Linked DNA regions of Xenopus tropicalis. The protein of the gene in region 1 purifies or fractionates together with the protein of each later gene. This does not show direct contact. Links are inferred from orthologs where the notes say so. Each region holds a gene or a part of one and is shown on either strand. Other genes may lie near its edges.

What was found. Proteins that work in one complex are often made in the same cells at the same time.
Region 2: the proteins of upf1 (region 1) and upf3b purify together in Homo sapiens (co-immunoprecipitation; 16 studies listed by BioGRID and IntAct, with this or other methods). This does not show direct contact. The link is inferred for Xenopus tropicalis from reciprocal best matches to the Homo sapiens genes UPF1 and UPF3B.

What each region holds. Positions count from the first base shown.
Region 1 is NC_030677.2:98,881,689-98,885,444, forward strand, and holds the start of upf1 (regulator of nonsense transcripts 1), read right to left. Parts: upstream 2,391-3,756; 5' UTR 2,135-2,390; coding exon 1,964-2,134; intron 1-1,963. UniProt on the Homo sapiens protein: RNA-dependent helicase required for nonsense-mediated decay (NMD) of aberrant mRNAs containing premature stop codons and modulates the expression level of normal mRNAs.
Region 2 is NC_030684.2:59,729,666-59,733,158, forward strand, and holds part of upf3b (regulator of nonsense transcripts 3B), read left to right. Parts: intron 1-269; coding exon 270-380; intron 381-617; coding exon 618-661; intron 662-1,379; coding exon 1,380-1,568; intron 1,569-2,345; coding exon 2,346-2,491; intron 2,492-3,152; coding exon 3,153-3,493. UniProt on the Homo sapiens protein: Involved in nonsense-mediated decay (NMD) of mRNAs containing premature stop codons by associating with the nuclear exon junction complex (EJC) and serving as link between the EJC core and NMD machinery.

The DNA of each region.
Region 1 (3,756 bases):
TTTACTTGGAAGGGTTGAACTTGATGGACTCTGGACTTTTTAAAACCCTATGTAACTGTATAAAATATACGTTATACTAATTTTCCCTTGCCTTCAAATGTCAATCCACTTTACGGTATTTGTTACAGATGGATGATCAGAGATACTGTGCTATTATTGTGACCACTTTTAATAAAGATTTAAAAAAAAAAAAACACCCTCATTTGTATAGTAAATTTGTTGTATGTTGTGAACATGGCATAGTGTTTTAAGCATCATTTCCAAAAAGCATAGTAGAAGCTACTAGCAATAGTAATATTTCTTGGCAAACTCATTAAAGAAGCACAAATTGTAACATGTAAAGATGCTTCCCTTTATTTTTTAGGAGGTAGAAATATTTGTCCTTGGTACTACGCGCCCATTTAACATCCTTTTAGAATCTGCCGCTAATTTCTCTTCCTACCAATTATGAGCCCGCACCCACCTTACACACCCCTTTTCAACCCAGGCTTTACCTGGTGAGAGATTGAGAAGGGACAGAACCTACCACCATAACAGACATCAGAGATGACTGACTAGAGTTGGAAGAGGACCACGATTATTTTTCACAAAATACCTTAAAGGAACAGTAACACCAAAAAATGAAAGAGCTTTAAAGTAATAAAAATGTAATGCACTGTTGCCCTGCCCTGGTAAAACTGGTGTGTTTGCTACAGTAACACTACTATAATTTATATAAATAAGCTGCTGTGTAGCCCCGGGGGCAGCCATTCAAGCTGGAAAAAAGGAGAAAAGGCACAGGTTACATAGCAGATAACAGATAAGTTCTGTAGAATACAATAGTGCTTTATCTGTTATCTGCTATGTGCCTTTTCTCCTTTGAATGGCTGCCTCCATGGCTACATAGCAGCTTATTTATATAAACTATAGTAGACTTTCTGAAGTAAACACACAACTTTTACCAGTGCAGGGCAGCAGCACATTATATTTGAGTTACTTTTATACACTTTCATTTTTTGGTGTTACTGTTCCTTTAACAGCATACTTAGGGCATTACAGGAAAGTTTTGGGCCATGCTTGGTCCTCTTATGAGCTTGATAAAGGGCTAAACATTGCCTGAAACAATGCTGTCACTTCCCAAGTGCAATAAAAACATTTAATCTGAAGAATAATTAATTTGCTGCTTCAACTCAAGTCACTTGTGTACCAGTGGCCATTGGAGAACGTGCACTGATTTGAAGTACTAACCATTTGTTATTTGCTATCCATTTGAGATGCCATCAGAAGGGGCAAGTTCCAGAAACATTATTTCACCAGCAATAAGGTAAGTGTACAGTGTACAAATGAAAAGTTGTGTGAGTTGCTGATGTTCAAAGATACTCACACAATTTGTGACAGTCCATTTTCCAGCCCACAAGCAGCACTTTGATGTATCGGCTTTTATTTTGCGTCAATGCATTTCATTTCCATTAGTCCCTGACCCAGTGGAGCTCACAATCTGTTTCTATGTGAAAGACCTCCTAGGATAGAGAACCTGAAAGCCACTATTCCAACATGGAATAAGGGACTGAATAATGTGTCAAGTCAGCGAGGGATACAATGAGTTCGATTATCCATTTTGCTTCTATCGCATATGAACAGTACATAATGTACAACTTTTGCCCATTAGGTAGGGGTTGAACTACAATGTAAGAGTCGCGACCTAATGTAGAAAGTTGCGATTCAAACAAAGTTGAGAGTTAGCAATTTAACCACGAGTATAAATAACTATTTTTTAGCTTTCCAGCCCTGTAATACAACTACGTACACGGTAAATATAACGTAACATAGACAAAATCGGAAATCATCTGAAGTTTATAAAGAAAGCACATTTTGAGGGCACTCCATCCCGCTACCTTAATGCCGCCTGGCAATGGAAGCGGCAGCGACACACGCGAGGCCTGACAAGCACATTCCCGCCCCCGGAAGCTGCCATGTCTCTCACCTGCCCGTCCAGCTGGTTCTGGCTTTGCCCTTGTGTCTGTGTCTGGCTAGGCAGCGTGAAGTCTGTGAACTCAAACTCTGAGCCCTGAGTGTCGGCCCCGAGCAGCTCGGCCTCCTCCGTATCCAAGAAAGTGAGGGTCTGCGAGCTGGGCCCGTACGCCTCCACGCTCATTGTGACGGCCGAGGAAACAGGAAAGCGATTAATTTTTTAATCCCTACACAGCTTTAATGGAGTCCCCAAAGGCTTCGATGCCACCACGAAGCGCTTATCTAATAGACACGAAACACGGGTAAAAAGAAAAAAATATGAACTGCCTCCGACCGAGCTCCCTCCGTCCTGGATGACGTCAGTCGTAGCCGCACAGGAAGGAACGCGCTTGCGCGCCAACGTGACGTAATCACGTTGGGACGACAGCAGTAGCTATTAGTTGCTATTGACAACAGGGCTGGTGTCAGTTATTTGTTGTTCAATAGTAAGATTCTCGGGCAGTAAGACGCGCTATCAATATGTAATTGGGTTATATCGGAAGAGGGAACGGTAGTATAGACGGCAGAGGCAGAACTTGTTTTTAATCTGGGCGGAGACGAGTGACGTAACAGACACGTCGGCACCTACTAAGCTAGGCTGATATCAAAATGAGTTTAGCAATTAAACGAGCAAAGAGATGCAAATGTTAGCGCCAGCGGAAGAGATTGTCCTATATGCGTGCGATAGTACTTATTAGTTTTGTGTAGCGATACTAATTTTCTGCATTTATTTATCGGGGCCGGGCCCTGTTGGTTCCTGTCATGCAGCATAGGCATGATAATTATGGCGTCTTCAGTTCGGGAGAAAGAAACTTGAACACCTCCGACAGGGTTACCTGGTTTTGAACGAAATAAATTAGGTGTTTACTTGGAAAATCAGAAAACACCATATCTTCGTATGAGAGTTGTCTGACATTTGCAGGAATTGGTACAACTTAAAAAAAATCTAAAATGTGCAGTCCTTTCACTGATCTGAGCAAAAACTGCTGCAGTATTGAGTGAGCTTCCTTATGTAGAAATATGTTGGTACTAGTTATTCTTATTGCACTGGGGGATTCCCTGTGCCAAGAGGCGAATGCACATGTTGCAGATAGGTTTGTAGTGGCGCAATAGTTTCCTGCGAGAAGGCAGCCTTGTGAAATATTGGACTGTAGTCTTCACAATACAGTGGCTAATAAGTGATAATATATCATTGCAGGGGTGCTAAGCAGTGGGCATAATCAACTACAGAGGCCTGGCCACTAGGAATAATGGATTGTGCCATCTGTCCAGATGACCATAATGGAGGATGGAAAGTTGGTATCTTTACACAGTGACGAGAAAGGACTGTAGAGGGGTTGCCCAGTAGCAGCTGCTAAGCATTTGACTGTAGGAGACTGCCTTTGGGTAATGCGATCAGCAAGCCCCTAGTAAAATATATTTTTTATTTTACACATACAGTGGACTTTTTGTGCTTTATATCAGTTCATGCAGGAATAACTATAAATTGTTGTTTATTTCTGAGACTGAGCGGTCGATTTTTATCATTCCTTGATCATTTTACCCAGTAGTAAAAATAATTACTGCTCAATAAAAAAAAAACTCCAAGGGTTTTAGATTAAACACTTTTCTGTTCTGGAACCATTTATTCGTAAATTAAAAATAATTGTTTTCTTCCACCTGCCTTCCATGTGCAATTTCTAGGACTGCTTAAAATCAGTACATAGAAACACCATTAGTTGTGTGAAGTAACTTCCCAAAAGTAGTTTGGAGGTCCATGTTCTCAAG
Region 2 (3,493 bases), on another chromosome or scaffold:
TCACAGAGCAAGAGTTTTTAGCTTCTGGCAAATTATTAAATTATTTGATTACACCAATATACATGCGCACTGTGTTGGGTCCAATTTGGGTATAACTCCTAAGGGAAAACAAAAAATTGTTAATTTGTGGGAATAACAATATTATGTTGTCAGTTCATCCAAAAATTGCCAATGAACTTAAATATTCTGCTGTGCTGTGGTTGTTTTAAAATATGTTTTAATATCTGCTGATCTAATAAGGTTTTATTTTCCCTTTTGTGTATGTTAAGATCCAGAATACAAAAAGTTTCTTGACTCTTACACTTTGGATGAAGAGAAACTAACATCAACTCCAGAGACATTGCTAGAAGAAATAGAGGCAAAGAATAAAGAAATGATAGGTAAAATGACAATATATTGTGCAAGCCTAGAAGTCCTGGTTTCTGACCAAATTGGGCCTATTTTCAATATGTATCCTTCTGAATATTACTTGAAACATTGAGCTTGACCTTACAAAAACTAAACAAGAATGGACATGTATGTAGTTTGGTGTCCAATTTTGTGTATTTTGCATTTTGAATTGCGTCCTTAAATATCGATTCTTGATAGAAAATGTATATTTCTTTTTTTTTTTCTAGCAAAGAAGACTACACCTCTGTTAAGTTTCTTAAAAAACAGACAGGTATACCTTTTCTATGGGATTTTATTTGCTGTAGCTATAAATAACTATAAATGTGCTCAGAGCAGAGCTATAGTGTAAGGATGCACAAGGCACCTGACCATCATCATTCACCCACAATTTTTGTTCTCCCAGACCATTACCATAGTCTCCCTCACTAGTTTCCCTCTTTGATCCTTGTTCCGGCCCTGTATTTATCCCATGTTTGTGTAGACATCCTGACTTAGTAATTTATATCTAGGTATTAAATGCAACTTTAACTTGTTTCATGTGCTTCAGCTCACCAGGCTCTCACTTAGAACTATGTAAACATTCTTGTATCTCAAAGTACTTTGCTTATCCTTTGATTTATCTTGTTTTCCATTAAATCACTTTTTGTTACTTTACTGTATCTGCAGTACTTGTGGACTATACCTGACCAGACCATACTTTGGTCTAGGAGCATACATACATTTTTGAATAGAAAGAGAATTAACATCACCAAATTAAAGGCATAGTTTACAAGCAATAATGCATAAAATAATGCTTGCTTGGGTTCACCGCCACTGAAGGAGCATGGAAGTTTGAGCTTACAGTATTAAAACAAAATTTAGGCTTAGAGGCATGTAGTGCAGTGAGATTTTGTTAAGGATGCCATGTTGTAAGTGACTTGTTAGAAATTGGTATTATGGTGGCTGATGGTTTTAATGCCTTTTTTCCCCATACTGCTGTCTTCTTCCAGAGACTTAGAGATGAAAAACGTGAAGAAAGGAGAAGGCGAGAACTGGAACGAAAAAGACTGCGAGAAGAAGAAAGGAGAAAGTGGAAAGAGGATGAAAGAAGAAAAAAGAAAGAAGCAGAAAAGCAAAAGAAATATGAAAAACCTTCAGAGAAAGAGCTGGAACAGTCAAAGGATGAGCCAAAAATTAAGGTATTACTGCCCTCAAAATAGTAAAAAAATAAAACTTTTAGGCTTATAGGTATCTGCTGACAAAACTTTGAAATTTGGCATATAAACGCTGTAACCAAAATAATTGAAATTAATTGTAGCAATGAAGTCACTGTGTAGAACATGACATTTCAAATTACTTCTTTGGGAAACAAAGAATCCACTCAAGCCTTGATGACATTTGTAAGCAAGACTTAAAAGTGAATTTCTCTCTCATTTTGAGAACACTGGCTTAAGGGGGGTCCTATATAAAAAAGTGTTACTAAGAGCTGTCCTTGGATCTTGTCATATGAAGGTGGCTTGATATGCCCAATATGATATAACATTTTCCCATACTTTGCCAAGTAACAAAGTACAGGTATAGGACCCGTTATCCAGAATGCTCAGGACCTAGGGTGTTCCGGATAAGGAATAGTTTGGATCTTCATACCTTAAGTCTACTAAAAAATCAATAAAACATTAATTAAACCCAATAGGATATTTTTGCTTGTACTGCTTTATTACTACAGAGAAAAAGGAAATCAGTTGTGAAATTCTGAATTATTTGATTAAAATAGGGATGGGCTTTCCGTAATTTAGAGCTTTCTGGATAATGGGCTTCCAGATAAGGGATCCCATACCTGTACATGAATAGCACTTGAGTGGCTACTGTTCCTTGTGCAGAAAACAGTTACATAATCAGAAATGGTTTCTTAATTAAACTTATGCAGTAATTTTGCACATTCTCAAGTACATGAAACCCATTTTTATTTGGTACAGCTTCTTAAAAAACCTGAGAAAGAAGAAGAGAGAGATACAGACAAAAAGTTTAAGACAAGAAAATTTGAAAAAGAGAATATTAAGGAAGACCGATGCGCTACAGGAAAGAAATCGGATGGTGAAGTCGGGGAGGAGAAAACAAAAAAGTATTTAGGATTCTTTTGCTTAAGTAAAATTTGGGTAATTTTTTTTCTTTACAGGAGGAGTAGTTCTACAGTGCCTCCCTTTTAATCTTTACTTCTTTATAAATCTGCTATTTATTGTGCTATACATCCCTATAATACAGAAATCTATTGTGAATGTAGTTCCAAGACTGGCCTGTAACTTAGCATTCTGTTTGTACTTTTTTATTAAGATCCAATTGTTTTGTGCTTGTATCCTTTCACTGGGAGGTTGAATGCTACTGCAAAAGATGCACTAAGAAATGGCAGTCATAAAAAATAACATCCTCTGGCCAGGAACTTGTTGCCAAGACCAGCTAGTAAAGTGGAAGCTACTTTAGTATATAATCTAGAGCAGGGATCCCCAATGTTTTTTAACTTGCGAGGCAAACTTAGATGTAAAAAAGTGTTGGCGAGCCACACAAGCATGAAAAAAGTTCCTTGAGGATGCAAAATAAGGGCTGTAAATTGCTATTTGGTAGTCCCAACAGGCAACAAATCTATCTGTGTGCCATAGGCTTAAGTATGTATGTATATATGTCAGGGCTTTGCTGGGATCTCCAATAACATTTTTGGGGATTTAGATTAAATAAGAATATATCATTGCAGTAAATCTTTTAAAATGTTACCTGCCTTTTCATTTTAGGGTTGAAGTGGAATATGTAAAGGATTACAGGGATAAAGATTACAGAGATAAAGACTACCGGGAAAAAGATTATAGAGAGAAAGATTATAGGGATAAGGACTACAGAGACAAAGACTATCGCGATAAGGAATACAGAGACAAAGATTACAGAGATAAGGAATACAGAGACAAAGACTATCGTGAAAAGGACTACAGGGATAAGGAATACGACAGAGAGAGGCGACAAAGAGATAAGGAGAAATCAAGATATCATGAGGATGATCGCCGTAAGCCTAGAGATCGATACGAGAAAGACAGGTGTTTCAGGCGGAGAGAAGAGGACTATAGGAAGGAACGGGATT